4 linked regions of the Stegostoma tigrinum genome follow. The protein of the gene in region 3 interacts with the protein of the main gene of each other region in a pairwise test. Links are inferred from orthologs where the notes say so. Each region holds a gene or a part of one and is shown on either strand. Other genes may lie near its edges.

Region 1 (7,229 bases), on a different chromosome or scaffold from region 3:
CAATGATGTGAATTTTAAAATCTTGCAGCTGTTTTACTGTGAGTCAGTGTAGGTCAACAACAGGACTTGATCTTAGTTAAGACAGGGAGCTGTAGAGTTTAGGGTGACCCAAAGATTATAGGGATCTCACAAACAGCAATGAAGTATAAACCATATAACAAAATGTGAGGCTGGATGAACACAGCAGGCCAAGCAGCATCTCAGGAGCACAAAAGCTGACGTTTCGGGCCTAGACCCTTCATCAGAGAGGGGGATGGGGTGAGGGTTCTGAAATAAATAGGGAGAGAGGGGGAGGCGGACCGAAGATGGAGAGTAAAGAAGATAGGTGGAGAGGTAGGGAGGGGATAGGTCAGTCCAGGGAAGACGGACAGGTCAAGGAGGTGGGATGAGGTTAGTAGGTAGCTGGGGGTGCGGCTTGGGGTGGGAGGAAGGGATGGGTGAGAGGAAGAACCGGTTAGGGAGGCAGAGACAGGTTGGACTGGTTTTGGGATGCAGTGGGTGGGGGGGAAGAGCTGGGCTGGTTGTGTGGTGCAGTGGGGGGAGGGGACGAACTGGGCTGGTTTAGGGATGCAGTAGGGGAAGGGGAGATTTTGAAACTGGTGAAGTCCACATTGATACCATATGGCTGCAGGGTTCCCAGGCGGAATATGAGTTGCTGTTCCTGCAACCTTCGGGTGACATCATTGTGGCAGTGCAGGAGGCCCATGATGGACATGTCATCTAGAGAATGGGAGGGGGAGTGGAAATGGTTTGCGACTGGGAGGTGCAGTTGTTTGTTGCGAACTGAGCGGAGGTGTTCTGCAAAGCGGTCCCCAAGCCTCCGCTTGGATTCCCCAATGTAGAGGAAGCCGCACCGGGTACAGTGGATGCAGTATACCACATTGGCAGATGTGCAGGTGAACCTCTGCTTAATGTGGAATGTCATCTTGGGGCTGGGATAGGGGTGAGGGAGGAGGTGTGGGGACAAGTGTAGCATTTCCTGCGGTTGCAGGGGAAGGTGCCGGGTGTGGTGGGGTTGGAGGGCAGTGTGGAGCGAACAAGGGAGTCACGGAGAGAGTGGTCTCTCCGGAAAGCAGACAGGGGAGGGGATGGAAAAATGTCTTGGGTGGTGGGGTCAGATTGTAGATGGTGGAAGTGTCGGAGGATGATGCGTTGTATCCGGAGGTTGGTGGGGTGGTGTGTGAGAACGAGGGGGATCCTCTTAGGGCGGTTGTGGCGGGGGCGGGGTGTGAGGGATGTGTTGCGGGAAATACGGGAGATGCGGTCAAGGGCGTTCTCGATCACTGTGGGGGGCAAGTTGCGGTCCTTAAAGAACTTGGACATCTGGGATGTGCGGGAGTGGAATGTCTTATCGTGGGAGCAGATGCGGCGGAGGTGGAGGAATTGGGAATGGGGATGGAATTTTTGCAGGAGGGTGGGTGGGAGGAGGTGTATTCTAGGTAGCTGTGGGAGTCGGTGGGCTTGAAATGGACATCAGTTACAAGCTGGTTGCCTGAGATGGAGACTGAGAGTTCTAGGAAGGTGAGGGATGTGCTGGAGATGGCCCAGGTGAACTGAAGGTTGGGGTGGAAGGTGTTGGTGAAGTGGATGAACTGTTCGAGCTCCTCTGGGGAGCAAGAGGCGGTGCCGATACAGTCATCAATGTGCCGGAGGAAGAGGTGGGGTTTAGGGCCTGTGTAGGTGCGGAAGAGGGACTGTTCCACGTAACCTACAAAGAGGCAGGCATAGCTGGGGCCCATGCGGGTGCCCATGGCCACCCCCTTAGTCTGTAGGAAGTGGGAGGAGTCAAAAGAGAAGTTGTTGAGTCTGAGGACGAGTTCAGCTAGGCGGATGAGAGTGTCGGTGGAGGGGGACTAGTCGGGCCTGCGGGACAGGAAGAAGCGAAGGGCCTTGAGGCCATCTCCATGCGGAATGCAGGTGTACAGGGACTGGACGTCCATGGTGAATATGAGGTGTTGGGGGCCAGGGAATTGGAAGAATTGGATGCCACCCGAAGGTTGCAGGAACAGCAACTCATATTCCGCCTGGGAACCCTGCAGCCATATGGTATCAATGTGGACTTCACCAGTTTCAAAATCTCCCCTTCCCCTACTGCATCCCTAAACCAGCTCAGTTCGTCCCCTCCCCCCACTGCACCACACAACCAGCCCAGCTCTTCCCCCCCACCCACTGCATCCCAAAACCAGTCCAACCTGTCTCTGCCTCCCTAACCTGTTCTTCCTCTCACCCATCCCTTCCTCGCACCCCCAGCTACCTACTAACTTCATCCCACCTCCTTGACCTGTCCGTCTTCCCTGGACTGACCTATCCCCTCCCTACCTCCCCACCTATACTCTCTCCACCTATCTTCTTTACTCTCCATCTTCGGTCCGCCTCCCCCTCTCTCCCTATTTATTCCAGTTCCCTCTCCCCATCCCCCTCTCTGATGAAGGGTCTAGGCCCAAAACGTCAGCTTTTGTGCTCCTGAGATGCTGCTTGGCCTGCTGTGTTCATCTAGCCTCACATTTTGTTATTTTGGAACTCTCCAGCATCTGCAGTTCCCATTATCTCTGAAGTATAAACCATATCATTTGTTTAAGCGATGTTGGTTTGGAGATAAGCTTTTGATCAGGACATTATGGAGAAGTAAGCAAAAATTAACGTGACACTGTCTGCAATGTAAGGAACGCAGCCAATTGCCACATCAGCCCATGTCAGTGGAACCAGTCATGTATATTTATCGTACAAGTTATATTACAGTCCACCGCGGTCAGGCACACAGTACGTTATCTGGGAAATGTCTGCCAGCTGAATAGTCTGAATAGTCAATGCTGCTGGCTTCCAAATTACTTTTACACTTTTCTACTAAAATAAAACTGGAGTCCATATTTTTCTTAAGCAATGTCAGTTTTTGAAACCTTGACGTTTTAAATGGAATAATGGCACTGCTACACTCCATGGTGTCAAGTGTAAGTAAAAACAAGTTACCAGGGAGACGTTGCCCCATGTGTTCCTCGCAGTCCGACCTATAGTTTGTAAAGCATTAGGTTTCTTGGTGAGCTCCAGACTCTCCCAAGTCGGGGTGTGGTCGATGTTAAAGTCCACCTGCCCAAGAGGCAGCCTCTTCCTCAGGGACATGCGGATAGTGTTGAGGGAGCTGGACGAGGACATCTCCCTGAAAAGATCGGCTGGCGGGCTATCGCCTTCTTCCTGCAGGATCTGATGGTGCTTTCTCCAGCTTGTCATTACGACCTCCGTGGTTGGGATCGAACGCCTGAATGTCTGTCCCTTTCTTGTTTTTGAATTTGGCGCAACTTTGTAGCGGAGTGAAATTCCCGCGATCCGATTGGTGAAACTGACAAGATGACGTACTGAGGCCCGCGCTGATTGGCCGTCGGTTATGTCACTGGGAGGGGATTGCTCGGGCTCCGGCTACTTTGTTCCCAAGCCTTTGTTTCCCAACAGGAAAAAGGATCCGATCAAGTAACAGCAATGTGTCCATTTCTTCCCGGGAGCTGATGGAAATTACCCTTTCATTCTCGTCGTCCCAGCGCCTTCTGGTGAGACCACGAAACATGGGCTGCTGCCACAGTTCTTAATATTAGAAAGTAAAACACTGCTGCACTCATTTAAAACCAGTGAAACAAATCGTACAGAAAGGCAAAACGGTTCCAGTGACAATTTCTGAAGAGGGATCACTGGACTCGAAACGTTAACTCTGTTTTCTAACTTCCCAGATGCTGCCAAACCTGCTGAGTTTCTCCAGAGTTAGTAGGAACTGCCGATGCTGGAGAATCTGAGATAACAAGGTGTAGAGCTGGATCAACGCAGCAGGTCAAGCAGCATCAGAGGAGCAGGAAAGCTGATGTTTCGGGCCTAGACCCTTCTTCAGAAAGACCCGAAACATCAGCTTTCCTGGTCCCGTTATCTGACTTGCTCTGCACCTCCAGCTCCATATTTTATAGACCCAGATTTATCTTCGCAAGTTATTGCAAAACACCGAGCTTTAAACATGAATATTGATACGATTTGAACGCAGGTTGTTAATAACTTGGAAGAAATAGGGAGAATCCTTTCCAAGCGATCGTTTAACTGGTCGTCCCACGCTTCGAACCGAGTGTCTCTAAGATGTTTGTTATCCTTGGGTTGGGGAAGGGGGGATTTGCACATTGTTTTCCGTTACACGCTCTTAATTCTTCACTGAAAACAGGTAAGCAGGGCATTTGTACAGTTAAATCTTCCCTCCACCACGACCGACCTTAGAGTCATAGAAAGGCGACACAAATGGGAACTATTAAATGAAATCTTACAGGGCCCGAGGATGTGTGCTGTGGTAAAAAGCTCGATTCTGTACCATGCGGGAAGAAGCCATTCGGCCCATCTTTGCTGCACCGACTCTCTGAAAAGAATCCAGCCCAGACCCAAGCCCCTACCCTATTCCTGTAGCCCTGCATATACCCTTGCTTTCCACACTTAGCTTGCACATTCCAGGGCAGTTCAGTATGACCAGTCAATCTAACCTGCACATCTTTGGACTGAGGGCGGAAACAGGCACATTCTGCAGAAACAGGGAGTAAATGCAAAATCCACATGGACAGTTACCTGAGGCTGGAATTGAACCTCCCTGGCTCTGTGAGATAAAAGTGCCACCCATATCTGAGAGTATCACTGAAAAGTTAACAATGCCGATATGAAGGTTGGGATTGAATTAGTTGTGTTTTCCAGCAGAGTTCAGGAATTGGAGACAGGGTTATTGCTGGGCAGCTGAGATGCCTATTAGCTGATCGTCTGTCATTCTCTTAAACTGCAAATCTGGCCTTGCAAATATATAGCTTTCTATTGTGCCGCTGCTGTGAGGAATATACACACCTCCAGAATTCCCGACATGAAAGGAAATGGATACTTCATCTCTCTAGCTCACCACTGACTCCGCCAAACCTTCACACCAGTGCTGCTGTCAGAACATCAGAAGCTTACAGGACCTGGGAGGTTGGCAGTGTCCACAACTTGCTACACCACAGCAACACCTCTTTTTGTTATGGCCAGACCCTGGGATTCACTATTCACCAAAACCCACTGGCCCTGTAGAAGTATGCAGAAATTCTGCATTCCCTGGCCCATATAAAACCCTAAACCAAATATTGCCTCAGAGAATGTTACATCGTAGGATATGGTCATTTCTGCAATGAAACTATGCCAACTCTGCTGTAAAACCCTAGACATTAAAATGGATACCTGTTGCTTAGCATTCCCCTGCATACACATTGAATTAAAGTGAGCAGAAGTGGGAGAGAATAATACAAAGCACATGCTGGAGATCTGAAACAAACAAAATCAGAAATTGCTGGAGAAACTCAGCAGATCTGATGAAGTGTTACTGGATATGAAATTTCTTTCCACAGATACTGTCAGAGCTGCTGAGATAGCACAGAAACAATGGGATGATCTGTGTTTGGGGAGAGTGCACAAAGTGAATATGAACAGAAGCCACCCAAGCCCTCCAGCTCCTCCAGAACTTCCAATTCCCCAGTCCCCAACACCTCATTTTTACCATGGACATCCAGTCCCTATACACCTGCATTCCCCTTGCAGATGGCCTAAAGGCCCTCCACTTCTTCCTGTCCGGCAGGCCCGACCAGATCCCCTCCACCGACACTCTAATCCGCCTAGCCAAACTTGTCCTCACCCTCAACAACTTCTCTTTCGATTCCTCCAACTTCCTACAGACAAAGCGGGTGGCCATGAGTACCCACACGGGCCCAAGCTATGCCTGTCTCTTTGTAGGTTACGTGAAACAGTCCCTCTTCTGCACCTACACTGGCCCTAAGCCCCAAGTCTTCCTCTGTTATATCGATGACTGCTTTGGCGCTGCCTCATGCTCCCAAGAGGAGCTTGAACATTTCATCCACTTCACCTACACCTTCCATCCCAACCTCAAGTTCACCTGGGCCATCTCCAACACATCCCTCATCTTCCTGGACCTCTCTGTCTCCATCTCAGGCAACCACCTAGAAACAGATATCCATTTCAAGCCCACCGACTCCCACAGCTACCTAGAATACACCTCCTCCCACCCAACTTCCTGCAAAAATTCCATCTCCTATTCCCAATTCCTTCACCTCCACCGCATCTGCTCCCAGGGTGAGGCATTCCACTCCTGTACATCTCAGATGTCCTCGTTTTTCAAGGACTGAAACATCCCCCCCACAGTGGTTGAGAACACCCTTGACCATGTCTCCCGCATTTCCACAACTCATCCCGCCCACCCGCCCCTGCAATAACCACCAAAATAGAATCCCCCTCGTCCTCACATACCACCAACCTCCGGATACAATGCATCATCCTCTGACACTTCCGCCATCTACAATCCGACCCCACCACCAAAGACATTTTTCCATCCCCACCCTTGTCTGCTTTCCGGAAAGACCACTCTCTCTGTGACTCCCTTGTTCACTCCACACTCCCCTCCAACCCAACCACACCTGGCACTTACCCCTGCAACCACAGGAAGTGCTACACTTGCCCCCACACCTCCTCCCTCACCCACATCGCAGGCCCCAAGATGACTTTCCACATCAAGCACACCTGCCAATGTGGTATACTGCATCCGCTGTACCCGTTGTGGCTTCCTCTACATTGGGGAAGCCAAAGAGAGGCTTGGGGACCGCTTTGCAGAACACCTCCGCTTGGTTTCATGAATGCAGAATTTCATTTTAGTAGATAGATTGGAAATGTTGAGCTTGTTTTACTTGGAGAATGTTGACAGGCGATTTGTTATAGGTATTCAAAATCATGAGTCGTCTGGATCAAATCGATAGTGAGTAAACTGTTTCTGCTGGTGGAAGAGTCAAGAATGAGAGAGAGCAGATTTGAAATAATGAACAAATCAAGCACACGTGACAGGGGGAGAAACGTTGTCAAACTGCGAGTTGTTAGAATATGGAATGCCCTGCCAGAGAATATGGTGGATGCAAGTTCAATTGCAGCATTTGAGAAGGAATTGGGTCATCACCTAAAAAGGAAGAAAGTGCAAGACTATGAGAAGAAAGTGTAGCAGTGGCACTGGATGCATTGCTCATTTGAAGAGCCAGCTCAGACACAGTGGGCTGAATGGCCCCCTGCTGTAATCCGTTTGTGTTTCTGTGATCAATTATTTGTGCAAATCTCTTTTAATAACAACTGTATCAGAAATGATGCTTCTAAAACTGTTTCCATTTGCACAAAACATTTGATAAGCCCGTATACATACA
Region 2 (7,791 bases), on a different chromosome or scaffold from region 3:
CTCACAAATGCCATGCTGACTATCCATAATAAGTCTTTGTCTCTCCAAATGCATGTAAATCCTTTCAAAATCAGGTCCAAAACTTACACATCACCACGTCGGGCTCACAGGTCTATAGTTCTCAGACTTCTATTTATAGCCTTTCTTAAATTAAGGCACAACATTAGCCTCCCTCCTGGCCTCTGGCACCGCATCCATAGTTATAGATGAAACAAATATCTCCGCTAGGGATCCTGCAATTTCTTCCCTAACGTCCCACAAGATGCTGGGATACAGATGATTAGGTCCTGGAGATTTATCCACATTTGTATTTTCTAAGGCCCCAGCACTTCCTCTTCTGTAATGTGAATTTTTTTCAAAACATCACTATTTATTTCCCAAATTCTCTAGCCTCCATTCCTTTCTCAATAGTAAGAACTATTGCGAAATCTTCATTCAGTATCTCTTCCATCTCCTGAGGTTCAACATATAGATAGCTTTATTGATCATTATGGGGCTTGATTCACTCCCTAGCTTTTGCTGTTAACATACTTGCAGACTCTCTTCAGATTATCCTTAAACTTATCTGCCTAGGCTATCACATATGATCTTTTTGCCCGAGATAACAAGGTGTAGAGCTGGATGAACACAGCAGACCAAGCAGCATCAGAGAAGCAGCAAGGCTGACATTTTGGGCCTATACCCTTCTTCAGCCTTCCTGCACCTCTGATGCTGCTTGGCCTGCTGTATTCATCCAGCTCTACTCCTTGTTATCTCAGATTCCCCAGCATCTGCAGTTCCCATGGCCCCTTCTCTTTTTGCCCTCCTGATTTCCCTCTCAAGAATGACTCTACACTCTTTATACTCTTCAAGGCATTCATTAGATCCCAGCTGCCCATATCTAATGTACGACTCTTATTCTTAACCAGAACCTCAATATCTTTATTCATCCATTGACCCCTACTCTTATCAGCTTTGCCCTCCACTCTAATAGGAACAGAGTTCCTCTAAACTCTCATGAGCACACCATTAAAAGCTTCCACTTGTCAAATTGCATGGTGTTCTATCTATAAATATAACACCTCCTTTACAGGCATTTTTGATTAACTGGCACCATCTCCTGGAGCATATAGTTTTCTTACATAAAGGCGAATATTAGGATCTAAAATGAACTGCCTTAGTGTGTTGTGCAGCCAAACAGATTAGGCCTTTCAAAATGAAACTAGATAAACAACTGACAATAAATGATTTGCAGTGTTAAAGAAAAAAGAGCAAGGGAATTGAGCTAGGTGATCTTTCCTGTGCAGACTTAGGAAGGCAAATGGTCTCCTTTGGTGCTATAACCATTTCCTGTTTCTACGAATACGTGTATATTGTTGTAAAATACTAATTTTTTTTACAAAAAGCTACCAATTTTAACTTCTGACTTGAATTCAGATGAATTAACAAGGCTGAAATCTTGATCAAGTGCTGCAATATCTTGCCACTATGCTTCACCAACTCACATAACAATTTATTTCATCGCGAATGCGAGGAATGCACAGAAAACAGCTTTACTTAAAAAGGGCCAAAGTACAAAATATTTAGATTTTACTTCAGTTTTCCTTTCCTCCTATAATATTTTTCCTGCTGAAGATATGCACATGAGAACATGCAAAATTAGGAGCAGGCCATTCACCACCTCGCCTCCAAATCATCAAGTACATAGGATGGCGTGTAGAGGGTGGGCCTTTGTTGGAAAGGGAATGAAGGTTAGAATTAGGGCACTGAGAAGTTCACACCTGAAATACTCTATAGTTTTGTTCCCTTACACAAGGTAAGATATACCTGCATTACAAGCAGTTCAGAAAAGCACAATGATTCTGAGGGAGCTTAACAGGGCAGATGTTAAGAGGATTTTCTTTTGCGCTCACATGAGAATTTAGAATTCAAACAAGTACGTTCAAAATTAGATGTCATCCATTTGTGACAGAGATGAGCAGCAAATCTTCTCTGAGGATTCTTAATCTTTGAAATTCCCTTCCACAGAGCAGTGGGGTCACTATGTTCAAGGTAGAGTTAGACAGATTCTTGATAGACAAGGGAGTCAAGGGCTGTGAGGGATATGTAAACATATGAACTGAGGCAACAGTAAGCCTTTAAGCCCCTCAATCCTAGATTCCATTCAATAAAATCATGGCAGATTGGATCACTCCACATTCCTGTCTACACACAACAGCCTTTCACCCACTTGTTCACCAAGAACTTGTCTACCTTTACCTTAAAAATATTCAAGGGCTCTGCTTCCACAACATTTTGGGATCCAAAAACTCATAACCCGCAAAAAAATCTTATCTGCCCAAAATAGGTGACCCCTTATTTTTAAGATAGTTAGATCTATGAGTCACTTTGCTTACAAAGAAGAAACAACCTTTTCACCTGCAATCTGTCAAGACCCTCAGGATCCTGAATATTTCAACCAAGTGCATCTTACTCTTCTAACTCCTGCAAAATCAAGCCTAGCCTGTCCCAATATTTCCTCAGAAGACAATTTGTCCATTCCAGATATGAGTTTAGCAAGGGTGCTTTTACCTCCTTCCTTAAAAAGGAAACTAATACTGTACAAAGGACTCCAAATGTATACTCACCAATGCTCCACATAACTGAAGTATAATCTACCAACGTTTATATTCAATTCCCCTAACAATAAATAATAACATTTTCTTGTTATCCTACTTAGTTGTTGCACCCGCTCAATAATATTTTGCAACTCATGCACTTGGACGCTTAGATCCCTCCAAACCTAAGAGTTCAGCAATCTCTTACTGCTTAGACAATATGCTTTTTTATTCTTCCTGCCAAAATCGACAATTTTGTATTTCCGCACGTTATACTCCGTTTGCCAGATCCTTGCCCATTCATTGGAGTCTACAACATTTGGCAGCCTCCTTACGAGCACTTTACAACTTGCATTACTAATTATTTTTAAATTTAGCAGCTATATCTTCAATCCCTTCATCCAAGCCATATCTATAAACTAAAAATAAGGACACCCCAGCACTTTTTAATTGACACGAATAAACTAATTAAATACAAACAGTAAAGGTTAACTTTATAAGTGAATTCACCCAACCCTTGCGAAGTTGACATTCCTCGGGCTGTCAACAACGCCGTAAGCTATTTGGCCTCTCGCTGTGTTTACTATGGGTGATGGGGAGGGGGCTCGGTTAAAAGTGTTAGATCGTCTGCGTCCTGGTCACGGCTGATGCAAACAAATAGACAGAACTGAGACAATACCTTGGTCACAATTTCCTCTCTCGCTTTTCGTTTAAATTCTCTTCGTTCCTCGATTGCTTTCGCACTTTCAAACCTGCCTCCGTATTCCGCCATCTTGCCTTTACCTTAGCAACAAGAACTTTTACGACAGCCGTCGTGAAGATTCGCCGGTGTCCCGGAAGCTGCGCGCGCACACTTGGAAGAATTGTTGCTTTCTTCTCCTTTTCAGTTGTTTATACGAGAATTAGATATAAACAAAAACAGAAGTTATTGGAAAAGCTCAGCAGGTCTGGCAGCATCTGTGAAAAATAGTCAGAGCGTTCTGAGGAAAGGCCACTGAACCCGAAACGTTAACACTGATTTTTTTTCCTTCACAAATATTGCCAGACCTGCTGACCTTTTCCAGCAACTTATGTTTTTGTTTCTGATTTACAGCATCCTCAGTTCTTTCGGTTTTAATTGGATATAAACGTTCATTTCTAGTATCAAAATATATGCTAGTGCAAAAGAAAAGTCAAATTTTGTCAGATTTTAAAATCTACAGTTTAGTGTCAACTGAGGAATAATAAGCAAAACTTAAAAATTGGCAGATAACAAAGTGTGGAGCTGGATGAACACAGCAGGCCAAGCAGCATCTCAGGAGCACAAAAGCTGACGTTTCGGGCCTAGACCCTTCATCAGAGAGGGGGATGGGGAGAGGGTTCTGGAATAAATAGGGAGAGAAGGAGAGGCGGACTGAAGATGGAGAGAAAAGAAGATAGGTGGAAAGGAGAGTGTAGGTGGGGAGGGGATAGGTCAGTCCAGGGAAGACAGACAGGTCAAGGAGGTGGGATGAGGTTAGTAGGTAGGAGATGGAGGTGCGGCTTGAGGTCGGAGGAAGGGATGGGTGAGAGGAAGAACAGGTTAGGGAGGCAGAGACAGGCTGGGCTGGTTCTGGGATGCAGTGGAGGAAGGGGATGAGCTGGGCTGGTTGTGTGATGCAGTGGGGGGAGGGGACAAACTGGGCTAGTTTTGGGATGCAGTTGGGGAAGGGGAGATTTTGAAGCTGGTGAAGTCCACATTGATACCATTGGGCTGCAGGCTTCCCAAGCGGAATATGAGTTGCTGTTCCTGCAACCTTCGGGTGGCATCCTTGTGGCACTGCAGGAGGCCCATGATGGACATGTCGTCGAAAGAATGGGAGGGGGAGTTAAAATGGTTCGCGACTGGGAGGGGCAGTTGTTTATTGCGAACTGAGCGGAGGTGTTCTGCAAAGCGGTCCCCAAGCCTCCGCTTGGTTTCCCCAATGTAGAGGAAGCCGCACCGGGTACAGTGGATGCAGTATACCACATTGGCAGATGTGCAGGTGAACCTCTGCTGAATGTGGAAAGTTATCTTGGGGCCTCGGATGGGGGTGAGGGAGGGGGTGAGGGGGCAAGTGTAGCACTTCCTGCGGTTGCAGGGGAAGGTGCCGGGTTTGGTGGGGTTGGAGGGGAGTGTGGAGCAAACAAGGGAGTCAGAGAGAGAGTGTTCTCTCCGGAAAGCAGACAAGGGTGGGGGTGGAAAAATGTCTTGGGTGGTGGGGTTGGATTGTAGATGGCAGAAGTGTCGGAGGATGATGCGTTGTATCCGGAGGTTGGTGGGGTGGTGTGTGAGAACGAGGGGGATCCTCTTGGGGTGGTTGTGGCGGGGGCGGGGTGTGAGGGATGTGTTGCGGGAGACGCCGTCAAGGGCATTCTCGATCACTATGGGGGGAAAGTTGCGGTCCTTGAAGAACTTGTACATCTGGGATGTGCGGGAGTGGCATGTCTCATCCTGGGAGCAGATGCGGAGGAATTGGGAATAGGGGATGGAATTTTTGGAGGAAGGTGGGTGGGAGGAGGTGTATTCTAGGTAGCTGTGGGAGTCAGTGGGCTTGAAATGGACATCAGTTTCTAGCTGGTTACCTGAGATGGAGACTGAGGGGTCCAGGAAGGTGAGGGATGTGTTGGAGATGGCCCAGTTGAACTTGAGGTTGGGGTGGAAGGTGTTGGTGAAGTGGATGAACTGTTCGAGTTCCTCTGGGGAACAAGAGGCGGCGCCGATACAGTCATCAATGTAACAGAGGAAAGAGGTGGGGTTTGGGGCCTGTGTAGGTGCGGAAGAGGGACTGTTCCACGTAACCTACAAAGAGGCAGACATAGCTTGGGCCCATGCAGGTACCAATGGCCACCCCCTTTGTAGGAAGTGGGAGGAATCGAAAGAGAAGTTGTTGAGGGTGAGGACGAGTTCGGCTAGGCGGATGAGGGTGTCGGTGGAGGGGACTGGTCGGGCCTGTGGGACAGGAAGAAGCGGAGGGCCTTGAGGCCATCTGCATGAGGAATGCAGGTGTATAGGGACTGGATGTCCATGGTGAAAATGAGGTGTTGGGGGCCAGGGAATTGGAAGTTCTTCTTCTCACCCATCCCTTCCTCCCACCTCGAGCCGCACCTCCATTTCCTACCTACTAACCGCATCCCACCTCCTTGACCTGTCCGTCTTCCCTGGACTGACCTATCCCCTCCCTACCTCCCCACCTATACTCTCCTCTCCACCTATTTTCTTTTCTCTCCATCTTTGGTCCACCTCCCCCTCTCTCCCTATTTATTCCAAAACCCTCTCCGACGAAGGGTCTAGGCCCAAAATGTCAGCTTTTATGCTCCTGAGATGCTGCTTGGTTTGCTGTGTTCATCCAGCTTCACACTTGATTATCTTGGAATCTCCAGCATCTGCAGTTCCCATTATCTCTTAAAAATTGGCAGGTAGTTGCTTCTGAAGCATAGCTAGGAGGTGCACATCAGGACCGTACAGAGCCCCTGACAAGTAGACTCTAAGAAAAACCCTGAAACAAAATATTACTGCATAAACTCATCAGGACCAGCAGCATCTGTACAGAGATGTGGAGAGAAAGGCTTTCCAACATTCTGTACACCTGTTGAATAAAATTTTCCTGCCAGGTTTGGAATGAGGATTTACAGCATTATTTCGAGTTTCTTCCCCTGTTATGGTGTGCAGAGACTGTCCAACAGAGAGCTGTTCAGGCATACCTAAAAACACACGACCAACAGCTAATTGGTAACTGCCACCTTTGTGTCATGTTGTGACTGGGTTTGCAACTATTATGATCACACCCTAGTTGCCAGTAGCTAACTGACAAAAGACACTAGGGAATTTGCCATCCTTAGAAAAACCTATCTACTGTGTGTTTTATATTTTGCATATCTGAATCAGAACCGCAATGCCCTCAGCCTCCTCTGCTCCAAGGAAAATAAACCCAGCCTGTCCTCATTACTCAGACTTTTCCTCCTAGGCAACGTTTTGTTAAACCTCCCCTGCACACTCTACAATACAATCATATCCCTCATAATGTGTACTCTAGAACTGCACACAATACTCTAGCTATGGCTTTATGCTTTATATAGTTTCAGCTAACCTCCCCCCTCTTAACGTTCATGCCTTGTCTGATGTCGGATCTCTCTGTGACGTACAGGGTGATGCTTACACTTGTTCCTTTGGGTCACACTTTGACCTATCCAGCCCATGGGATCTCATCACGATCAAACAGGGAGTTACAAAACCCTTACTTTTCTGAGGTTTGGAGTATGCTAATATTCCAGAATGCACAAAGTTGTTCCAGATATAGACAGTAGGCTACACGAGTGACGGGATTGTGACAATTATTTGTGCATTCTCTTGTTGAGGCTTCTGCTGCAGTTTAATTGGCAATACTGGCATGGCAGCAGGACTCACGCAGAATTGCAGCAGCCTCCTGGTGGTCTGAGTTGGCAGCAGGAGGTAGTGATTGCTTCCTCTGATCACTGGGAGGAGCTGCAAAGACATGACTCCTTCTGGTGAATGATGCAAGGTTCACAAGCTGACCAAAATTCCAGGCAGTAGCTAGGCCCAGGTGGGTCCAAGTGGATCCAAACACTTGTATGGAGATAAGATTTAAATTTTTAACATTCTTTTATTTCTGCCAATGTTTTCTTTTTAAATTCTGGTTTTGTAACCAAGATGCCACTGGAGAAGGGTGACTTTGTACACTTTTCACTGTATGTTTTACTTGAGTACACATCAAAAAATTCTAATAATGGCATAATCCCATCTGCCTTCTCAACCACTCTAGCTACTTGTCCTGCTACCACTGTACATGCTCTGCAGGGTGCCCCGATCCTTGGTACTTCCCAGGGTACTACCATTCATCATGTCCAGGTGCATCACTTCAAACTTATCCAGATTGGATTACATTTGCCACCAATCAGCCTGTCTATATCCTCCTATAACCTAAGGTTAGCCCATTCACCCCACTGGAAACAGACTTCCAGTCTCAAACACAGCCCTCAACCACCACCCTCTCCTTCCTATCACTAAACCAATCCTGAAACCAACTTGCCAAATTTCTTTGGATGCCATGGGTTCTTACCTTCACGATCGGTCTCTCATTTGCAACTTTGTCAAAAGCCTTGCCATTCCAAATTGGCTGCATTAGAATGCATTGCCCTCTTCTACACAGCTGGTCACCTCTGAATTTTTCAATCATATTGGTCACAAATGGCATCT
Region 3 (7,520 bases):
AATCCAGTTCTCCAAGTTCATCTGCCTTAACTATTATGCTCCTTGAAATAAGTACACTTCAGGCTGCCACTCTGATCTAGTTCAATAACCTTGTCAGGCCTGCTCTTCCTATTCAAGTGACTTACACTGCACTGATTCCCAATTCCTTGCAGCACTAGCTTAAACCCTCACGAGTGGCACTTGCGAACTTCCCCGCAAGAATATTGGTACCCCTCTAGTTTAGGGGCAACAGGTCCTTCTTGTATCCATCTCTCCTGCGCTGAAAGAGATCCCAACGATGCAGAACACTGATGCCCTCCTTCCTACACCAGCTCCTCAGCCACGCATTCAACCACATTATCTTTCAAAACTTCTGGCCTCACTAGCAAATGGTACAGGGTGTAGTCCAGAGATTACAATGCTAGAAGTCCTGCTCTTCGTTTTTCTATCTTATTCCTTAAACTTTCTTTGCAGGACCTCATCTCTCTTCCTGCTTCTGCCGTTGGTACCAATATGGACCATGATCTCTGACTGCTCACCCTTCCGTTTCAGAATGTTATGTGCCCACTTAGAGCCATTCTCAAACCTTGCACCAGAGAGGCAACATATCATCCAGAAGCCTTGCTCATGGCCAGAGAAACATCTGTGAACGAGACTACAGAGTCTCCTATTACAACCACTCACCTAAACTTCGATCCTCCCTGTTGTACAACAGAGTCAATCATGGTGCCACTGTCCTAACTGCTGCAGTTGCTATCCTGAAAGAGCCCATATCTTCCCTCCCCACAACCCACTAATATCCAAACTAATATACTTCTTTGACAGATGAATAGCTACAGTGGATTCGTACAATTCCTGCCTGCCCCTCCTGGCAAACACATCAGTGACTGAACCTTTGTTTTGGCCATATCCCAAAACTTATAGCTATAAAACTTTCTGCCTCCAGTATACTTCGCAATGAGTCCAACTACTGCTCCAACCCATCCACAAAGTTCAAGAGGAGCTGCAAGGTGGACACAGTTGTCAGGGATACATGACCTCTCCCAGATCTCTCAGGGGGTGCATACCACTCCAACTTCCATTACTACCCCTCTGGAAATTACTAGATTAAAAAGGAAAAAGGAAAGACTTGACCTTGCTGCATCTTAATGTTACTTGCCCTCATTACAAAAGCCCACACGTTGAACTCAAGCTCACAGCCCTTCTCCAAAGCGGCCACTCCCACAAGAGCTCACTTTCCTTTAATATGCTACCAGTAGGAAGGGAAAGTTGGTCTCTTACATGTCCCTGAGATAATGGGAACTGCAGATGCTGGAGAATCCAAGGTAACAAAGTGTGGAGCTGGATGAACACAGCAGGCCAAGCAGCATCTCAGGAGCACAAAAGCTGTCGTTTTGGGCCTAGACCCTTCATCAGAGGGGGTCTGATGAAGGGTCTAGGCCCGAAACGTCAGCTTTTGTGCTCCTGAGATGCTGCTTGACCTGCAGTGTTCATCCAGCTCCACACTTTGTTTTAAAAAAGTCAGGGACATATAAGAGAACAACGAGCCTCTGTTGGATGCTCTTCCCCTTTTTTAAGCACAGATTCCTATTGTACGTGAACTCCTGTTCAGATACAAAGCAACACAAAATGTGATATCTTCAGTTTTTGCCTTGTTACAAACTTCAGTTTTCTGGTCATCACAGTCTCCATCTTCACAACAAGCATTTCTAACTATCTCAATCATTTTTCTAACCTCTGCACTGCATCTGTCATCTTCTGTCTTCGTTTGTCCTAAGTAGCCAATTTAAGTAATTATTTCAGGTAACAACATTCATTTCATTCTGGTTTCTTTCAATGTACTCATTTTTAAACAATCATTCTATTGCCTTTTTGGTATACACACAATGAATATTCTGAATTTATAGATTTTACTTGATATTTTGTTAGCCCACATCCAGTTCTGCAAGCAGCAATGTGCTCATCAGCACACAAGATTAGTTATTGCTTCTGATTAATCCTAAACACTTGTTCTGTAAATAAATTGAACAATAATGTGGTTTACAACACTTTTCCTTTTACTCAAAATGCATTTCATTGCTTCTTTGTAGGCCAGTGTTCACTACTTAGAACCTCTCCAGACTTTGGATTCTTATCTTCATTATCAATATCACATTTCAGCAAGATAACAAAGCGTGTAGCGGGATGAACACAGCAGGCCAAGCAGCATTTCAGGATCACAAAAGCTGACATTTCAGACCTAGACCCTTCATCAGACCCGCTCTGATGAAGGGTCTAGGCCCAAAACGACAGCTTTTGTGCTCCTGAGATACTGCTTGGCCTGCTGTGTTCATCCAGCTCCACACTTTGTTATCTCGGATTCTCCAGCATCTGCAGTTCCCATTATCTCTGATCATATTTCAGCAACATGTCTATTACCTTTTTTTGGGCGATAAACATGATCAAACACTTTTTCATATTCTATGAAGTACATGTCATTTTTAAAATAGCAAATATATGCATATCTTATTCACAGACAGGCCACAGCCACAAAGCAGAGATGACATGAGTTGTCGGATCTGCAGACTGAAAAATCTGTAAATGATAAGTAGGAGAAACGGTTCGTTGCAGTTATCAACGGAGAGCAAGTAAGAGTGTACATACTCAGAAATAGTAACAGAAAATGCTGGCAACGTTCAGCTGGATCAAACAACCTGAGTGAAAGCTGTGTGAATATCGAAATATTGAATCAATGACTGTACCTCAATTACTACTTCAAACCACTAGCAGAATAATATTTCGGCCAATATCGTCGCTTAATACATACCAATTCTCCACCTTACTGTATCTACAGTTTCAAAAATGAATGAACGCCTCCCTCCGGTCTCTTCTTTCTAATACGCAACCGCCGTTAACCCACCCTCCACAGGCCGAGCTGTTCAACAGCCGGACATTCGGCGGGAGGGGAGACCCCACCACAAAGCGATACGGGGGGGGGGAGCAAATTACAGTTATTCCATATTATCAACATCGTTTTTTTTTTCAAAAAAAGGTTTACTACAACTTTTCCAATATTACCACAAACAAATTCAAACCGTTTCCAAAACACACATACTTACTGCTTAGCTTCTTTATCATCGTCAATAATTTCAATCGCCTTTATCAGCTTCTCCCTTTCCCTCAAGATGATACGCTCCCATGGGCAGAGCCAACCCCCTGAACGTCGACGCGCAAGGTAACCGCACCCTCAAGTACAAATTAGCCACTCAGGTTACATACAGAGAAAAAACCAATCAGAAAGCAGGAAATAAACAAATCGGAGATAATGGGAACTGCAGATGCTGGAGAATCTAAGATAATAAAGTGTGAAGCTGGATGAACACAGCAGGCCAAGCAGCATCCCAGGAGCGCAAAAGCTGACGTTTCGGGCCTGGACCCTTCATCAGAGGATGAATAAACAAATCGGATCGGTGGGAGTTAGCCAATGAAATCACATGCAATGAACCAATCGGATTAGCCAATCGGATTAGGGAACGCGAACGGGGATTCTTCCCGTTGGAGCGGGAGAGAGGTGAGTGTTTTCGCGAGATCTGGTCTGCGCAGCAGTGGAGGGAGTTAGGGGAAAATGTGTATTTTGTGTGCACGACTATCCTGACGGCTGTGTTTACTGCTGAAGGTGTCAGATGCAAATCAGGCAGCGATCCGGGGTTTTCCTTGGATATCTATGTGAAGAACACGGCCGCTGTCGCGAGGAAGGTTGTGGCTGCGAGTTGCCATAGTTACGGTCGGTGTTGGCCAGACGCGGAGGAGCTCAGAGCTAATAAATAACAGGTGGCCTTTAAATTTTCCTTTAGAAACATTGTGATTCCTGCTCAGTCTAAGATTAAACTTTACCTTCCTATTTTAGAGTTAATTTTTAAGTCCCTTATCGAAGTCATTAGTGCTGTAAACTGGGATTAATGTAGATAACAAAAGTGTGGAGCTGGATGAGCACAGCAGGTCAACCAGCACATTAGGAGCACAAGAGCTGACGTTTCGGGCCTAGACCCTTCATCAAAAAAGTAGATTCTGTTCTGAGGAAGGGTCACCGGACCCGAAACGCTAATTCTGTTTTTTTATTTCCTTCACAGATGTTGCTAGACCTGCTAAGCTTTTCCAACCACTTTGTTTTTGTTCCTGACATACAGCATCGGCAGTTCTTCTGGTTTCTATTTAGTATTTTTTTTAGAGCAGATCACACATGGCTGTCTCCTGACATTTTAATGAAGTAACAAGTCATTGTTTATCGCTGAACTTACTAAATTCCAGGTGGTCCAACTAGTTGAAGGCGTTTAAAGCAAATATATTCAGTCAGTATTTACCAACCGTTTCATAGGCTAGAATAAAATATACTCATGATTGTAATCAGTGTTTAGGACGGCATCTTAACGAGTAAAGCAAATGAAGTAAATAACTACCAATATCAGAGATAACAAGGTGTAGAGCTGGATGAACACAGCTGGCCAAGCAGCATCAGAGGAGCAGGAAGGCTGACGTTTCAGGCCTAGACCCTTCTTCAGAATTCTCCAGCATCTGCAGTCCCTACTATCTTAGAAACAATTTTAACCACCAATGTCACTTCAAGTGTTCATCTAAGTTTTTTTTTAAGAATGGGAGTTTAATCACCTCAGCCAGCCTTCTAGGCAGCGCACTCCAGATCCTCTGCCCTCCGCGCAAAATAAAAATTTCCCCAAGTCTCCTCCAGACCTCCCACCTTTCACTCAAAAGTGTCCCATGATTTAGTGTTTATTTTAAACTAAAATTTCTTTAATTGTGAACGAATACTTCTTCCAAAGCAAGTGGCTTATTATATGACCAGAGATGCAGGAGTAGGTGTTGTTCCTTTGCTTTACTGATTAGCAACCAGAGCAATAGCCACAGAAAATCTATCGCTGGACCACAGTAATACCACAGCAGATGCCAAGGTAGCTGAAACTGTACTTAAGAATGTTCTTAAGATAATTCAAAAGAAGTGTTTGGCATTTTTTCATTATTAGAGGCTTGCAGAGCAAATCCAGAGTGAAGTGAGTTAACACAGAAAGCTAACATTGAGGCTGCCGGAGTTCTAGACTGTTTATGTACTACAAGCAAAGTTTTGATGACAAAGTCTGAATGGTTGTTCATCAAATATCTGCCCAGATATCATAAGAAAAAAATGCACATGGAGTTCCTATGACAGGGCATATAGGAATACAGAAAACACAGGCATTGAAACATAGATAATTTACATGGTCAAGATTTCATATGTATCAGATGGTAGAAAAACCTCACCATGAAATCAAACCAGCAGCATTGATAGCCAAGCTGTTTTTTTTTAAAGAACGATTTAGTTGAGTGTTAGTAGATTGTGTAGGACTATTATCACAAACAAAAGCAGGTTAACAGTCTATCCTTAAAGTTCTGGTTAGGAAGGATTTTATCAAATTGGAGAGGGTTCGGAAAATATTTAGCAAGATATTGCTTGGAATGAGGGGGTTTCAGTTATAGAAATATGCTGGGACTTCTTTCACAAGAGCATAGGAGGTTGAGGGGTGACCTTGTAGAGGTTTATAAAATCATTAGACTCAAAGAAAATGTGTATAGCAAAGGTCTTTTCACTAAGGTGGGTGAATTCAAAACTAGGGGGCATATTTTTAAGGTGTGAGGGGAAAGTTTTAGAATGGCGAGGGGCAATTTTTTTTTACACACAGTGGTTTGTGTGTGGAATGAACTGTTAAAGGAAATGGTGAATGCAGGTACAGTTACAGTGTTTAAAAAACATTTGGATAAGTCCTCAACCAACCTTCCAGACCCCACCACAACCCTCTTTACAGGTTGGCATGATGGCTCAGTTGTTAGCACTGCTGCCTCACAGCACCAGGGACCTAGGTTCACTTCCACCCTCGGGTGACTGTCTGTGTCGAGTTTGCACATTCTAGCAGTGTCTGAGTGGGTTTCCCCCGGGTGCTCTGGTTTCCTCCCACAGTCAAAAGACGTGCAAGCTAGGTGGATTGGCTGTGCTAAATTGCCCGTCGTGTTCAGAGATGTGTAGATTAGGTGGGTTATAAGGATAGGTCTGGGTCGGATGCTCTGAGGGTTGGTGTGGACTTGTTAGGCCAAAGGACCTGTTTCCACACTGTAGGGACTTTGAGATGAGATCAGTATATGAATTGGAAAGTTTTGGATGGATGTGGGCCAAATGCAGGCACTAGGACTAATTTAGTTTTGGAATATGATTGGCATTGCCTAATTGGACTGCTGGGTTTGTTTCCATGCTGTTTGACTCTATGAATCTGCAGGATTCTTTACTGCAGAGGACTGTAGAACTGGGTCATCAAGTATGTTCAAGGCTGAGATGGATAGATTTTTCATTAATAAGGCATTCCTGGATTATGGTGAAAAGTTTAGGTGATGGAGTTAAGGATTACAAGATGAGCCATGATTTCATTGAATGATGCAGCAAAATTAAATGGCTGAATAACCTATTTCTGCTCTCAGACTCCTGGTCTTATGGCCATAGATTGGAATACAATTCTGTTAGTTCGAATGCCCGACAGCACCTCATGAATACCCAGTCTTGACGTGCTAGATCTATCTGATCTATCCCATTTCACGTGGTGATTGTGTTACACAGAACAGTGCAAGGTTTATTCAATTTGAAATGGAACTTCGTCTTCACAGAAGACCACCATACCGTGGTCGCTCATACCGATACTGTCATAAACAGATGTATTTGCCACAGTCAGCTTGATGAGGGTGAGGTTAGCGGTGTTTTTCCCTCTTGATTCCCTCACCACCTGCAGCAGATCCAGCCGTGTTCTTGAGGACTTTGTCAGTTTCATCAGTAGTAATACTGCTGAGCAATTCTTGGTAGACATTGAAGTCCCAAACCCACAGAACATTCTTCGCCATAACCATCCTCATTACTTTCTGCAAGTGGTGTTGTACACAAAAGTGTACTGATTCATCTGCTTGGAAGGAGGCAGGGGGAGATCATAGTTGGTAATCAGCAGGATGTTTTGTGCTGATTGTGTTACCATCACACTACACTATGCATCTGTCTTGCCAGTCTATACCCAGGGGTGCTAATGTTCTCTGAAATATGTGTAAGGTGTGATTCCTTGTGAATGTCTTTGTCAGGCTTTTGTTTCATTGGTCTGTGAAACCCTCTCCTGATTTTGGCACAAACCTCCTGGTGTTAGTAAGTAGGATATTGCAGAGTCAACAGGGCTGCATTTACCATTGTAATTTCAGGTACTAAATTCTAGGTGGTCCAACTAGCTTGGCTTTCTAGCAATTTATACAACTGAAGTTGTTATTGATGCAACTGAATGGCTTGATATGCCATTTAGGAAGGCAGTTAAAAGTCATCCATATTGCTATGGGTCTAGACTCACACAGAGGCTATTTTCCTTGTCTAGATATTTGTCAATCCTACAGGTTTTTATACCATTGGTTTTGTGGTCCAGAAATTGGATTGAATTCAAATTTCACCATCCGCTGTGGTGAGATTCAAACCTGAGTCCCTAGATTTTACCTAGGTC
Region 4 (8,375 bases), on a different chromosome or scaffold from region 3:
AATCATTATATTTCAAGATATCCTGCAAGATTATTGAACGTGTTAAATGTTGTCACAAAGCTCCCTGAGATCACTCACCGTACAACAAACCATGGTCAGGATAATTAATGATAAAACAGTTATCACCTTTTCCCAGTCAAGCTGTGAAATCAATTTTAGGAATAACTCAAAACAAAGGCACAAATCAGAATCAAATAAATATCATATCTGCTATTAATGAGGTACTGTGAAATATTCAATATTGGGCTAATAATTACTGAATATGAATCTGCAGTCACCCATTACTTGCGCCTATTCTCGACTGAATTTCATCCTAGTATTAATAGGATGTCCAATTATTGTAAATATAACAAGCCTTGAAACTTTCAGTTAGATTCCAACTTGTTATTTTCCCAAGTTTCTAGGAGTATACTGCGTCTGCACAACAATTCTGCTTGTGAAGTAACAAGGTAAAGACATTTTTCTTCATTTTGTTCTTTCAGACTTCCTTAATCCACGCATAGATTTCCAGTGCACAGAATGAGCAAAAGCGCAAGGATCATTGCATGCAGAAACACTTCTTTCAACTTTGTTTCATCCCAGATGAGAATAGGAAATTCAACCAACAACGTAAAAGGAAGATGGAAGCACTTCACTGGAAAACAGGTAAAGCCTCACCTGACAGCGGACGCTTGTAGAAATCTGGGAATAGTGTTGGGTCTGGTGGAATGGGACCAGATATCTTGGAGGGACCCTCGGACATCTTGGTTACCTAACAATACAGAAACAGCTATGTCTAAATAGTTTAAGTGAAAAAGGAGGAACATAGGAATAGGAGGCAGCCAGTTAGTCCCTCAAGCCTGTTCTACCATTTAATTAGATCATGTCTGATCTGTGACTCAATTCATTTTCCTGTTTGTTTCCTGGCACTCAAAAACCCTGGCTTACAAAAGAAAATTCCAATTTCTGTGTTGAAAATCTTGATTGATCTCCAGTGTTACCTTTTAGAAGAAAGAATTGAAGATTTATTCAACGCTTCATACAAAACCATATATCCTGATTTCCTGTCTAAATGCTATAATTTTAAGATCGTCCCTTTTTGGTTCCCCAGCAGACATAATATATTCCCTGTAGCAATGTTATTGGACCTACCATCTTGTTATTAATATAAATTCAATTAAAGATTCAAGAAAAACATTTATGCTCAGAAAAGTGAAATTTGAGATTGCATGAAATGATTAAGGTGAATAGGATAGATATATTTCAGAGAAAGACAGATGCATGTATGACGGAGAAAGGAACAGGAAGTCACACTGCTAGGGTGACAGGTGGGAGGAAGGGCATGTGGAGTAGAAATGTCAATGTGAACCTGAAAAAAAAACTTCACTGTAAATTCTAGGTAATTCGACATGTCTTATAGCTTAAATCTCACCTGCGGCACAGGGCCCAAAACTGAATACAATACTTTGAGTGAGCTCTTTACAACTAAAGGATCTGTTCCTCACTATGCTAACTTTAGATAAAGATTTCATTAATCTTGTTGGATTACTTGTAAAACCTGTTGACTAGTTTTGATCTGTGCACATGAACATCACACTCAAATCCTTTGATTCTCCTTAACTCTTAATCTTTGAGTTAGTTGCCTTTTTTGATTTGTCTCTGGATCTAGAGCATCAGTGGAATAATCTGTAGAGACAGCTAACGCACCTAATTTGCTTTTAATTTTAAGTTTTCTCTCTCATTCCCTTCCTGAATAGCAGAGTCATATTTGCTACTCCCCAGTCCACAGGGCCAGTGCTAAAATCTAATAATATTGGAAAATCAAAACCAACACTTCTAATAATTTTGCAGCTCCTCTTTTTAAACCCTATGATGTCTTTACTATTTTAAACTAATTTAGTTCTTTACACTAATTAAACCTTAGGTTTCCAAATATTTTGATTATTCCTCTTATGGCATCCATTATGAAGTCAGGTACAGAAAATATTTCTTTAACATATTGTTACTTTCATTGTAATTTCTCCCGTCTTTGCCTCAATTACATCAATTTTACTTCCACTGATCTCTTCTAGCATTCTTAGAAAAGCTTTTACAAGCTGTTTCCTTGATGGCTTTCTCCCATTCTATTTTCATCCTCTACCACATTTTTGGTCAGGTTTTCCTGATTTTTAAAATCCTCTGGCTCACACCATCCTTTTTGGTAACATTGCAAGCTGCTTCTTTGAATCTAAGACAGCACTATATTAACTTTATTATTGTGCCATAAATGGGAGTGTTTTCCAGTGGTGTTTTATTCCTTGAAGAACTGTACATTCATTGGGAGAAAATAATTCTTACACATTTGTCATTACTTATGTGTTAATATATTTATGTAATTTCCCAATCTACTTTAAACAACATACCACTCTTTACCTGCTAAAGTGACTTTGCCTAATCCAAAGGCCTAGATAATCTGCACCACACTGAAGTTTACTGTGATTTGATCATATCATTCCTTCTCAGAAAACCCTTACAGGACAGTGGTTGTCAAAGGATGGCCCCCACACCAGTGGTTGTCCACAAGGATCTTTCATCCACCAACTAGTTGAAAATGCAACACAATGCATGGGGTCACACAAGGCAACAGGCTAAACTTTCATCTCCATCACTCATGCAACATCAGGCAACCAGACCACTCCCATGCACATAACACAAAATGTCACAAGTGCACACAACAAGTACAATTTATGTCACCAAGAAATTGGATTTTCAACATTTGTGGGGCTAAATGACAAGAGGAATGCAGCTATTTAGCATGGTCCTGCATATCTACTCATTAGCATCTCATCAGAAGCAGTTTAATTCTTCCCATTAATTCTAACGAGCGTTTTTGCAGTGGTAAGCATAGTGGTTAAGGTAGAACCGATGGGTAGGCTAAAGGGTCATTTGACCCTTATAAGGAGCCTTGGCCAACACAGTTCAACAACCCACTCTTCTAACCCTGTTTGATTGCTGGGACTAAAACCTGTTCCCATCTTGGTTCCTTGTGGGAATCAATGCTGGAGTTATTGGGCTGGAAAACACTTTTGCAGTGTGGGCAGAGCCTACTATGGTCAGAATCCAGTGTATCACTGGCGAGACAAGTTGCAATCAGCAGTAGTCTGGTTAGGACTCCCATTTGCTTGGGGAGGAACGGAATACAGGCTGGCATCAGTCAGAGACCTCCAATGTAAGCCCTTAAGGATTCACAATCAGGACCACCGCAGCTGGGAATACAACCAAAAAGCGCAACAGCCACAGGCTCACCTTCCAACTTTCCAACCGTCCCCGGGCATGCGTACGCCACTTTGAATACACGCATACGCAACGTCATTGCGTCACCTCCGTCACCACGGCAACCGCGTCCTTCACGTCGTCCTGCCATAATTCATGCTTTGTAACATTGGCTACTTCTGTCTTTGACTGTCAAAATGCATGACATATCCATTGAGTTTCTATGGGATATTCGTGATCTAATACAGAATCTCACTGGGAATATTAGCATATAGTATTTGGTTTTAGTGTCAACATCAGGGTGTTGTATCAAGTTTCATTGTGCATATCAGCGTACAGTATTATAGGGATAATTAATACTCATGGAGTCTCACCGTGAGTGACAGGGAAATGCTCACTATGCATCAGACACTCTTTTAGTTTCACCTCATGTTATTCTTCATGTTCTCCAAAGGCAGACACTTTCTTGACCCTGGAGACTGAGGAAAAAGGCATTTTCGGCAGGCTTTTAAAATGCAGAATACTCCCAAGCCCAATTATTCATTTCTCATCACACTCAGAAGTTATATTCATCATGGAGGCTAAGCAAGACTAGTTGTCTAGGCGCTATACAATAGATTGTAAGGTCAGGGAGTCATTCATAATATTATTGAATGATCGTGAGTTAAGACAATGCTAAGGCAGGCTGTGCATCATCCATGGGTTGACCGTTTTTTAACCACTTAATTTATTTTACCAGTTGATGTATCTCACCTGCTCACTTCCCCACCACTGTGCCCACTTGGATCCTTACACTGTGAAGCATGTCACACAGAAACATCGTTTGTAAAAGGTCGCATCAGACTTAGACAGAGTAGGAGACACGCTGTTCATTCATTATGTTCTTCTCCATTTTGAATTGATCCGTTAACAACTCCTCATTGTCATGTCAAACACGCAGACAGATTAGCAGATGACAGACTGCACACAGAAATAGAATTAACATTCTGAAAGTCTTTATTTTTGTTTCCATTCCTCTTTAGGTGGTTAAAAACACTGTATATCTTTGGAACAATGTTTCAATGGGTGATTCTTGTACTTCTCCCAAACTGGGAATGGGAGCAGACAGAGGGCCAGATAGTAGTCACATGTGCACCTGGCTATGTGGCACAAGTTTGCCTTGGGTCCTGAATGGTAAGGAAAAACTGTTCAGAGATGGCCATCAGAGAGTGGAATTCAACAAAAATATTTTTGTTAAAAAAAGAGGTTCTAGAAATAGCTAATTTTCTAAATTAGCTATTTTCCCCCAGATCAGCAATGCATTATAGGTAGGGTCATATTGAGAAGTTTCATGGTTCCAACACAGAAAAGATCATACACTATGTTATGAATACAATAAACTGTAAGTGAGACAAACTCATTCTTTACAGTTTCAGATTCCAGTGCAGTATTTTTTGTAATTAAACAAGCCTTTGTTTTTCAAAGAAAGATCACATCCACTGCCTCTTCACAACTCTAACTCAGTCTCCTCCTTTTAGGCACTCCTTAAAAACAAATTCTTCAGCAAATCTTTTGTTCCTCTAATCTAATTTCACCTTGTGTGATTTGGTGACTCATTTTATTTAATAATAGTTTTGTCAGATACATTGAGACATGTCATTTTCAAATCAATGGTGCTATACAAATATGTTGTTTGCACTTCTATGATAGCGGTCCAAACATGATCAATAAGAAACCCATTCCTCCACCCTTTCAAATAAACTGTTGAATCAAAGACTCTCTGCCAAAATATTAATGACGCACTGACATTCCCTGTGCCACAGTACTGAAGGGCATTACTCATGAAGCCCTGCATTGCTAGAGACGCAATGGGAGAATACTGTACTGCTAGAGATTTAGTACTGAGGGAGCACTGTCAGAGTACAAGATAATAAATTGTGAGGCTGGATGAACACAGCAGGTGATGCTGCTGGGCCTGCTGTGTTTATCCAGCCTCACAATTTATTATCTTGGATTCTCCAGCATCTGCAGTTCCCATTATCACTGTCAGAGTACTATCAGCTTTGATAAAATGTTATACTGCCTTAAGTGCAGGATTACCAAATGTGCCAATATTCGGATGAGATATTCAACCAAGGCACCATTACCCCCTCAGAGAAAGGTCCCATGTAAAAGATCTCATGGTACTATGCTGAGGGAAATCAGGGTGTTCTCCCTGGTGACAGTCCAACATTTATCCGTCAACTAATAGCAAATCTGGTCAGTTATCATATTGTTGTTCGTAAGAGGTTGCTGTGCACAAATTGGCCACCATATTTCCCAACACTATAGTGGTGACTACAATTCAAAAATTAGCATTTAAGGCTTCCTGAAGTTTTGGAAGATTGTAAAGAAATAGAATTCTTTCTTTCTTTCCTCAGAATAGACATTTTCCTTCCAGGGGAGCTACAATATATGCTGTAGACTGCCCTCTTCCCCTAGTAACCCTAATGTTAGGTGTCATTCATTTAAGGAATTTGTAAGTGCCTAGCATCTGCTTTATTTATGGCCCTACACTTCCCCTTGTTAGTGTTCTGAACATACATAAATCTCATTCAGTTAAGCTTACTTGAAGGACACTCCACGATCCCATCAATGCAGCTCCATCTGTAATGGATCATTGGATTGCAACCTTCTCCTACTCGTGTCTTGTAGCAGCACTGATGCTGAAGGCAGCACCTTAGAACAGAGAGGTAGTAACAATAATTCAGAAGATGCATTCACATTAGAGGAATGATGCGTTTACCCTGGGCATCAATGCATCAGAACATTACAGACAGAAATTCACAATGATAAAGGAGAATGATAGTCTGAATTCATACAACACTGTATTGAATGTAAAAGATCCATGATGAGACACAAGGATGCTAACAGCAGAAGTAAAGCAGGTCTTTTACTCATCAGCAAGCCTACAACACTCCAAACTTTCCTGCCACTTTTAAAATCTGCAAGCTTTCAAACTTAACACTGAATTATTCCTAGTCCATTAACACATGATTTACTCAATCATTTTTCTAATCTCTCCAAAATTTTCTCTAGTGCCCTTTATCAACGATATTCAATTTTTTTTAGAAAAGCAAATTTTTTCTTATTTCTAAACATGCTTGACTTTTATTTGCATTTAAATCCATAATCCTTTTAGCTGTTTTGTGAGATTTCAAGTATCCGGGTGTTAGAATGATCATAATTCTGAGCCTGTCAGATAATTGGAACCATTCTTAATTTCACAGCTTCTCTGAAATTTTCAAATGTCATTTCATAGGATGTTGGCTTTGTTAGTAAAGCTTGTTTTGTTGATAATTCCGAGTGCCCTTGAACTGAAAAGCTTGCAAGGCTATTGGCTAGTTAAAAGTTAGCATGTCCAGAGTTTATGTGAAACATATCAGGTAGGGGGTGGCCATGGGTACCCGCATGGGCCCAAGCTATGCCTGCCTCTTTGTAGGGTACATGGAACAATCCCTCTTCCAAAGCTACACTGGCCCTATCCCCCATCTCTTCCTTGTTACATTGACGACTGTTTTGGCACCGCCTCGTGTTCCCACGAGGAGCACAAACAGTTCATCCACTTCACCAGCACCTTCCACCCCAACCTTAAGTTTACCTGGACTATCTCTGACACCTCTCTCTCCCTCCTGGACCTCTCTGTCTCCATCTCTGGCATCCACCTGGAAACTGTTATCCATTTTAAGCCTACCAACTCCCACAACTACCTAGAATATTCCTCCTCTCACCCACCTTCCTGTAAAAAGTCCATCCTGTATTCCCAATTCCTTCGCCTCCGCCGCATCTGCTCCCGAGACGAGTCATTCCACTCCCGAATATCCCAGATGTCCTCTTTTTTCAAAAACCACAACTTCCGCTCCACAGTGATCGAAAATGCTCTCGACCATGTCTCCTGCATTTGCCGTAACTCATTGCTCACACGCCCTATTCGCAATAATAACCAAAATAGAAACACTCTCATTCTCACGTACCACCCCACCAACCTCCAAATCCAACGCATCATCCTCCGATATTTCCGCCAACTGCAATCTGACCCCACTACCAAAGACATTCTTCCCTCCCCACCCTTATGTGCTTTCCGGAGGGACCACTGTCTCCGTGACTCCCTTGTCCGCTCCACACTCCCCTCGAGCCCCACTACCCCTAGCACTTTTCCCTGCAACCAAAGCAAGTGCTACAAATGCCCCTATACCTCACCCCCATCATTACACAGGATTACACATCAAACAGATGTTCACCTGCACATCTGTTAATGTACTATACTGCATCCACTGTTCCAGTTGTGGCCTCCTCTACATCAGGGAAACCAAACGGAGGCTTGGGGACCGCTTTGCAGAACACCTACGCTCAGTTCGCAACAAATAACTACACCTCCCAGTCGCGAACCATTTCACCTCCGCACCCCTCCCCCCACCACTCCTCGGACAACATGTCCATCCTGGGCCTCCTGCATTGCCACAATGACGCCACCCGAAAGATGCAGGAACAGCATCTCATATTTCGCTTGGGAACCCTGCAGCCCAAGGGTATCAATGTGGACTTCACAAGCTTCAAAATCTCCCCTTCCCCGACCACATGCCAAAACTAGCCCAGCTAGTCCCAGACTCCCTAACTATTCCTCCCACCTCAAGCCCCACCCCCATCTCCTACCCACTAACCTCATCCGGCTCTCCTGACCTGTCCATCCTCCCTGGACTGACCTATCCCCTTCCTAACTCTCCACCTACATTCACCTTCACTCGCTCTAACCCCGCCTCTTTGACCCGTCTGTCTCCTCTCACCCTATCTTCTCCTTTATCCATCTTCTATCCACCTCCACCGTCTCCCTATTTATTTCAGATCCCCTTCCCCTCCCCCATTTCTGAAGAAGGGTCCTGAACCAAAACGTCAAGCTTTCCTGCTCCTCTGATGCTGCCTGGCCTGCTGTGTTCATCCAGCTTCACACCGTGTTATCTCAGGTAAGGATAGCAGATTTCTCTTCATAAAGGATATGGGTGAACTAGCTGTGGGGCTTGAACCAATGCCTTTGACATTAATATGGGACATTAACACTATACTGCCATCTCCCTTTCACATTTGACTGAGGTTTTTGTTCTATTTTGCCTTTCTATCAGATTGCATGG

The links.
Region 1: the proteins of cep70 (region 3) and protein PIMREG-like interact in binary tests that used the Homo sapiens proteins (3 or more experiments, as listed by UniProt). The two-hybrid records come from large-scale screens. The link is inferred for Stegostoma tigrinum from reciprocal best matches to the Homo sapiens genes CEP70 and PIMREG.
Region 2: the proteins of cep70 (region 3) and cwf19l2 interact in binary tests that used the Homo sapiens proteins (3 or more experiments, as listed by UniProt). The link is inferred for Stegostoma tigrinum from reciprocal best matches to the Homo sapiens genes CEP70 and CWF19L2.
Region 4: the proteins of cep70 (region 3) and enkd1 interact in binary tests that used the Homo sapiens proteins (3 or more experiments, as listed by UniProt). The link is inferred for Stegostoma tigrinum from reciprocal best matches to the Homo sapiens genes CEP70 and ENKD1.

Annotation. Positions count from the first base shown.
Region 1 is NC_081380.1:25,349,411-25,356,639, forward strand, and holds the start of protein PIMREG-like, read right to left. Parts: upstream 3,286-7,229; 5' UTR 3,226-3,285; coding exon 2,968-3,225; intron 1-2,967. UniProt on the Homo sapiens protein: During mitosis, may play a role in the control of metaphase-to-anaphase transition.
Region 2 is NC_081359.1:69,860,563-69,868,353, forward strand, and holds the start of cwf19l2 (CWF19-like protein 2), read right to left. Parts: upstream 3,355-7,791; 5' UTR 3,349-3,354; coding exon 3,256-3,348; intron 1-3,255.
Region 3 is NC_081360.1:66,673,218-66,680,737, reverse strand, and holds the start of cep70 (centrosomal protein of 70 kDa), read right to left. Parts: upstream 3,423-7,520; 5' UTR 3,078-3,422; intron 2,912-3,077; exon of another isoform or gene 2,786-2,911; intron 1-2,785.
Region 4 is NC_081393.1:16,154,928-16,163,302, reverse strand, and holds the start of enkd1 (enkurin domain-containing protein 1), read right to left. Parts: upstream 3,313-8,375; 5' UTR 3,265-3,312; intron 752-3,264; 5' UTR 743-751; coding exon 658-742; intron 1-657. UniProt on the Homo sapiens protein: Microtubule-binding protein which regulates microtubule organization and stability. Promotes the stability of astral microtubules and facilitates the proper orientation of the mitotic spindle.